Linked DNA regions of Caenorhabditis elegans. The protein of the gene in region 2 interacts with the protein of the main gene of each other region in a biochemical or structural test. Each region holds a gene or a part of one and is shown on either strand. Other genes may lie near its edges.

The links. Proteins that work in one complex are often made in the same cells at the same time.
Region 1: the proteins of par-1 (region 2) and nmy-2 form a complex in vitro, tested with the Caenorhabditis elegans proteins (one study listed by BioGRID).

What each region holds. Positions count from the first base shown.
Region 1 is NC_003279.8:7,932,902-7,936,657, forward strand, and holds the start of nmy-2 (Myosin-11), read right to left. Parts: upstream 1,677-3,756; 5' UTR 1,643-1,676; coding exon 1,598-1,642; intron 1,547-1,597; coding exon 1,244-1,546; intron 798-1,243; coding exon 613-797; intron 562-612; coding exon 336-561; intron 289-335; coding exon 126-288; intron 81-125; coding exon 1-80. Other genes in the region: T22C1.1 (UBR-type domain-containing protein), read left to right, coding at 3,365-3,422, 3,565-3,756.
Region 2 is NC_003283.11:14,124,740-14,128,495, reverse strand, and holds the start of par-1 (Serine/threonine-protein kinase par-1), read left to right. Parts: upstream 1-1,957; coding exon 1,958-2,181; exon of another isoform or gene 2,182-2,240; intron 2,241-2,252; coding exon 2,253-2,385; intron 2,386-3,756. UniProt on the Caenorhabditis elegans protein: Required for cytoplasmic partitioning and asymmetric cell division in early embryogenesis. Phosphorylates and restricts the asymmetry effector mex-5 (and possibly also mex-6) to the anterior cytoplasm of the zygote.

The sequences.
Region 1 (3,756 bases), on a different chromosome or scaffold from region 2:
ATCATCAACTCCAGCCAATTTACTGTCACCATTTGAGACAAACTTGTACTTGGATAGGCTGTCTTCTAGGAGATAATGTTCTGAAAATAAACGAGTTACGGTATTGTAGAAACATTTAATCTCACCTCTCTGTACTTTTGAGAGTCCTTTCAGCAACTGGTAGAAAATGTGGAACGATCGCTCATTGGGAGCTTGTTTCAGCACGCGAGATTTCTCCAGAAGATAAAATTCAATATTCGCTCCAGAAATGCACCCTGTGCTGTCGAAATGAACGCGAATGAACTTTCCCTAAAAAATTTAACGATGCGTGCATTTAAAAAGTTATGATCACTCACAAATCTACTGGAATTATCGTTCTTCACTGTCTTACTGTTTCCGAAAGCCTCGAGTATGGGATTTGCTTGCAAAAGCTGTTCCTCAAGCTGGCCCATGATCCGGTTTGTAGATGTGTCCAGATCAACGGAAGTCTTCCGATTCTTCACCATCGACCGATTTGCCACATAAGCCAAATACTGAATCACTTTCTTTGTATTTTCAGTCTTTCCAGCTCCCGATTCTCCACTGAAAAAAACAACACATTTCAGGATAATATAAACTCGTATATTAACTAACGTGCAGAGAATTGACTGATCATCTCGTTCTTGAAGCATGCTGCGGTAGGCTTCATCGGCAACAGCAAATATGTGTGGTGGCATCTCCTTTCTCTTTTTGCATTTGAACTGTTCAGCAATTGTATCCGTGTAGATTGGAATTCGTTTGTATGGATTTATTACAACGCAGAACAAGCCAGAGTATGTCTGAAAATAATTCGATTGATATTTATATAAATGTATAAGTTTTTGCCTTAAATAAATATTTGAAATGTTGCAAAGGTCATCAGGATCTCTTGATTATTAAAAACCAACGACCGGTTGAGACGTTCTGCATATTTTATATCTCACCTGATAAAAAGATTATCAAACTACAGAAATAACTGTATTCCTTCTTAGAGATAAAGGTCACAGCAAGGTTCAATATAGGAAAATCTCCGGGAATGGCAGAAGCCGGTCCATTTACAAAATTTCTACTTTGAAACTTATTCTATAATTTGAGCTGGTTCCTCTGAGTTAGGGGGTTAAATCGCCACAAAGAATTGCTACGAAAGAAACCGCATCTTAGGCTTATGTAAACGCCAAAAGACGACAACCAGCTTGACGAGAATATTTATATTCAATGAAGAATTGTTAGCTATCGACAAACTTACGTAGTAGAGATTCGAGAAATATCGTTGCTTTAGATTATGAAGAACCGACGCTTCATTCAGACACGTCAGCATTGACATATCCTCGCATTTGTCATATTTCGGAGGATTTGGCTTCTGGCAATCATCAGACGAAACACGCTGCCGTTCGCCAGTCTCCATAAGCTCAATGTCGATAGTTCCGTCTGCATGTGGTTCCCCGATGACAGCTCCAAGTGCGAATCCATCCTTCTCACTGGGTACCCACATCAACTTTTTTTTCGCCCAATCTGCCGAAATCGATGGATTGAGGAAGTCTGTCTTGGCCTGAAAATTAGAAATAAAGCTATAACTATAAAAATATTTGAAGAAACATACTCTCAATTGGTCAATCTCATCATCTTTTTGTCGAGATGATGTCATTATTACCGCTGGAGCTGTTGTTGTAATCAATTAGCTGAAAAGTTAAATGGAATAAAAGGCGGGTAATCTGCTTGTCCCATCTGACCTGACCTCTGGTAACTGTGGCAAAACGCGTTTTTGATACACGACGTCCCGAAAATATTTTCAACATAAAATTTTTTAGACGTCAAATTTTCAAATCCACTTGTTGCTACGGCTACAGAGTTCTACAAATTTAGGGACACGCTGTTTGATAAAATAAGTATGTGGTAAGAAGAAAAACAATAAGGTCATGGCATTCACGCGAAGAAAAATGAGTCGTGGAAGCTAGTTCTCAAAAACGGGTTTGATAATATGCATAGGCTCAGGTGTCAGCATTATCCCTCAAAAAAGGAAAGAGAAAAGTATTTCAGGAAAGGCATTCCATAAGACTATTCAAAAACGTTACGCAATTAAATTCGTAATTCGATTATGAACACGAATTCGCAGTGCGATTCACCAAGGTTGACTATTGGAAACAGTAAAATGAAACGAAAAAAGTGAGCACAAAGATTGAGAATAGGGTTCACACACCATCGAAATTTCGATTTCCGCCCACATCAATTATCAGCGTCAACAGATAAAGCAACATACCTCTTGTTTTTGCCCAGCCTACGCTTTTATTGATTATTTTTAAAACTAGTTTAAAGAAAGGGTCAATTTCTCAGAGGCCACGATGGCACGCGACTTATAATTCAAAAGTGAAATAAAACAATCTTTTTCTCAAAAATCTGTTAGTGAGAAGCCTTTCGTATATCAAATACTTCCCACAAAAGGACGATAATGGAAGCGCAGCTGTGCCGATTTTCCAGCTGTCTTCCCTCTACCGCTGACCCTCTTTTTTAACTGGCGTTCTCCATTCCGCCATTGCATTGATAATACGATGGGAAGCGCTAGTTCCGTGGGAACCATCCACTTTTGGTAATGTACGAACCGTTCGGTGAATTTCGCAATATTTTGGTGTGAGGTAAAGGAAGATGCGCCGAGGGAAACAAGGGTCAAAACGAAATGCAAACGAATACCCATTCAGGCCAAGCGTGCGCGCCGAGAATGAAGAATAAACGGACGGGATAGGACACGAATTGGCTCTCTCAACTTGTCACAAGTTACCGACATGAATGGTGATTCAGAAAACAGAACAGGAATCTTTTCGTGGTGACGCCGCGGCATTTGTATTGGGTTTGGCGCCAAAAATAGTAGAAATGGTGCGCGAGGATGATTTGAAACTGGCGCCCTCGGCTGTCGCGAGACCCGAAGAACTCGGGGGATGTTCAACTGGGGGGATTACCAACTCGGGGGATTGGCCCCGCCCACAGAACCGTGGCTTGCAATACGCCCATTTCTGCAAATGCCGCACGGTTTTAAAATCATTTTTTCTTGTTAATCCTCGCTCTATTGATAAAAATACAGTTTTAAAACCGTGCGGCAGTTGCAGAAATGGGCGTATTGCAAGCCACGGTTCTGTGGGCGGGGCCAATCCCCCGAGTTGGTAATCCCCCCAGTTGGACATCCCCCGAGTTCTTCGGGTCTCGCTGTCGCTGGACACAGTCTGCATTTTTACGTGAGGGTGCACCAAACATATTTGAATTGTACACCATTACGCCACCTTGCGGCCGTAAGAACTCGTGCTTTAATATTGAAGCCTCAATTAATTTTCCTGCATTCAACGAAAAAAATAACTCACTTTTTTTTCAAATTTCAGATATGGACGATAAAAAGGAAGAAACACCATCGATTGCTCCTGTTCTTTGTGGAGAAGAAGGTAGATTGAGTAAATAAAATGCTGAACATCGTTCGAAAAAAAGATTTGCTTTAAAGCCAGAACTGAGTCAATAATATAAATTTGATTTATTTTAATAAAAATAAATGAATAATTATTTAAACATTGCATTTTTTTCTTTCAGAGGAGGCAGTCACCCTTGGTGAAATCGTGGAAACCATCGATTATTTGGAAGACAAAGCCGATGTATTGTTCGCAACCCAAAATCCAAACGTTTGCACTTATGCAGAAGGCTACAAACCTCGTCAAACATTATTCACATGTCTCACATGCACACCTGCTCCAGAGATGGCTGGAGTTTGTTATGGATGCGCTT
Region 2 (3,756 bases):
ACCTATCCCATGTTTCAAATTTCTGTCAAAAATGAGTCAATAGGCACACAAAAACAGAAACTTTATCACTACTTCACAGACATGACGGAGTCAATTTTTGACGGCCCGCCGGATGTGATTCATAGACTTTGAACCATTTCAATCGATAAGCTATTGGAGCTCCTGTAAGCTGGAATCTAATTGACTAACAACCAAAAACTGGCACAACCCTATTCATTGCTTTTGTAATGATGCTCTTTGGTGTACATTTTCATGTTTCCTCCACCCTCTTAGTTCTCAACCTATTTAATAGTGCCACGTCAATCCGAGAGTTTGTGATGAGTTTCTCGGTTAGTACGATTATAAAGAAGAAAAGTGAGACGCGAACTTCTTTTTTTCAACTCCATCTTCGTCGTCTCGGTGCACCTGGTGTGTTGTCCTATTCTATTCGGTTCTACCTCCTCCACCCCCAATCTATTCAATTTTTATTATTGACTTATCGGAAAGAGAGTCAGTAATAGGAGAGGTGGACACGCAGACGTTGTGAGAAAACGACAAGCGCCTCGACTGAGAGAATTGAAGAACTGACTCATTTTTGTACTGAACTGACTGACAGTGCAGACTGGTTGACACACCTGCTCAGAAGCTGCTGGATCACCTTACACATTCACGTGCGACACTATTTTATTCAATTATTGTTCGCGATTCAAGATTCAAGAACTGTTAAGATGACGAAGAAATCGTACGCATTTGCACTGGATCTCGATGATTTGTGCTGTGACGATCATCCATATTCATATTCACCACCTTCCACATCTTCACGGCATTCTGCATATTATCCATCTCAACAGCCTCGGACCTTTTTTCCGGAATATGAATTGACCAGGTTTCTATCTTGTTTCAAAATATTTTTTCCGGCTGCTTCTCTTCTTGAATATGACTCATCGCCCCCTCAATTTTTCGTTGGTCGTGCTGCAAGAAATTTTCCATGATTCATCATAGCAGCTTGTAGTATAGAAGAAGACCATCGTTGTTCTTGTTGAACATCAGATTTTACATTTTATGTCCGGCGCCTGAGTTCGCCTTACTTTTTTTGTGTTCTACGAGGTACGGGCAATATGATGAACGTAGCCACTAAATGGGGCAAAGTGGCCGAATATAATTAGTACGTTTCTAGATTCGGTTGACCTTTGATTTTATATCCAAAAAAGGCAGTTTAACGGTTTTCTTTTTGAAAAACAATTTTTTCTAACTGAGGGGCTGGAACTTCCTTTTCTATTGGAACAACGCGTCTCAAATGAAAAAAAAAAGTTTCCGAAGCGCTATTTTTCGAGTTTTTTTTTTTCATTAAATCGGCTGTAAAAGTCGTCATTTCTTCCCCTCTGTGCTGACGTCTTCACTCAAAATGAAGAATTGCAAGCACAACGAGATGACGTTGGATGGCCCCGCAAGCAGTCAGCATCGAATGAAAATTTAAACACAGAAATTCAACGAGCCCCGTCCATCAAAGCCACAAAAAAACGGGGGTCCGCGAAGGGAAATTAGAAAAAACGAAGAGGCATGGCGGGGGGGGGGGGGACACGATTTTATGTAGCACTTGGAGCAGCACTTTGTGGGGGCATTTATCGGTCGGCGGGGAGGGTTTTTTGGAGAAATTCCGATGTGATGGGAGCAATAGAAAGAGAAGGGGACACATATTCCCTCTTAGTTTTTTTCTCCTTTTGCTCACACTTTTTTCAAGAGGAATACAGACAGATAGAGAGAGACATGGATGCAATTTGTGTCTCTTCTCCAAAGTGTGGATGGATGGATGGATGGATGTGTATGGAGAAAGGCCGCCCATCTTCTTCTTCTTGCTCGCTTGCTCCTCTTCTACTGCCGGCGCTCTCCTCGTTTTTTCCAGTGTGTCCGTCCTCCACGCTTTGCTCCATTTCGGGGAGCCCCAGGGCTCTTACGCGTCCGTTTGACCTAATTCGATATGTTCAATGCGGCATACTCGTCGTTACTCGCTAGATTTATGTGCCAGCCAAGTAGTTCATCTGTGACGCCTATTCCGGAAGAGGAGGAATCTCTGATCCCGAAGCGAAAAGTGTCTGAAGTGGTCACTACAGCTCCGATGGCTCCCACACTAACTTCATCTGGGAAACGGCGAACGGTGAAAGTGTCACCTGATGGAGATCATGTCACACATAACCGAAAAAAGTTAATTTTAGTTCACATTTAAAATTAAAATAAAGCCCCAGTCCACCAGTTTTCAATAAAAATTTTTCCAGCTCTTCATCACATGCACGATCTACTGGACAATCGGGTATGTCAAGTCGATCGGCAGCACGACGCAACGATCAGGATGTACACGTTGGAAAGTATAAGCTATTGAAGACTATTGGAAAGGGAAATTTTGCAAAGGTGAGCACTTGATGATTGGAAATTTCGAAAAAAAATAGTTATCAAAAAATTAGAGCTTGAAACATACTGTAGCCGGTCTCGACACGACCGAGCGCCTTTAAGGATTACTGTAGTTACAAACTCCCGGTTTTTGGCAAATTTTCTGTTTTCCAAATTTTTTAAAAATTTTATTTATTAAAACCAGTCGATGACCGCGCCTCCGGCGCGGCCAACGACTGGCGGAGTTTAAAATGTATAATACATAGATGTCCTTTTAATCATTCAAAAATGTATCATTAAAAAAGTTGAAACTTCATCGATTAAATCGCATTTTCTTCTTCCATGGTATTCGATTCAGAAAATTCAAAGAGACAGTTAGAATGTTCTGATTTTTCTACACTCAAAATTATAAAACTGCGTTGCGTGTACGCCAAAATAGTCCCCGCCTTTTTCTCGTTCACTCACGGGGAAAAGGCAAAAAGCGGTACCCCAGGTAATATCAGCCGCCGACATCATTCGAGGTCCGCGCACCACACTATTTTTCTCACTGTTGGCGTGGCGAGCTGTCCCCCTCCCCCGAAAAAATTCCACAGAGTTACAGTTTTTCAATAAGTTAATAACTTTCCTTAACTGGAGAAGTCTGAATAATTAACTACTAATAGTAAGTTCTTTGAATATAGATGTGACGAAACAAATAAAAACTCCTACAGTTATAGGAGGTTGTAGAGCATTTCAGAACTTTTTTGAATTTTCCAGATGATTCTAGAACATTCTAGAATTTTCTTGAAACTTCCAGAAGGTGCTGAAACAAAAAATTGATTCCAGAACCAAAATTTGAATTTCCCGCCAAATGTTTTCCTCAGAAAATTTGAATTTCCCGTCAAAATCTTTTTCTCAGAAAATTTGAATTTCCCGCCAAAATTTTTCTTGGAAATTTGAATTCCCGCCAAAATTTCTTTTCTCATAAATTTTGAAGCTCCCGCCCATATTTTTAAAGGTCCCACCACGATGGGTCTCGCCAGTTCCAGGTGGTACTTAAGCTAACAAAAAGTTTCTCAGAAAATTTGAATTTCCCGCCAAAAATTTTTTCACTGAAAATTTGAATTTCCCGCTAAAATTTTTTTCACTGAAAATTTGAATTTCCCGCCAAAAATTTTTTCACTGAAAATTTGAATTTCCCGCCAAAAATTTTTTCACTGAAAATTTGAATTTCCCGCCAAAAATTTTTTCACTGAAAATTTGAATTTCCCGCCAAAAATTTTTTTCACTGAAAATTTGAATTTCCCGCCAAAATTTTTTTTACTGAAAATTTGAATTTCCTGCCAAAATTTTTTTCACTGATTGAATTTCCCGCCAAAATTTTTTTTACTGAAAATTTGAATTTCCTGCTAA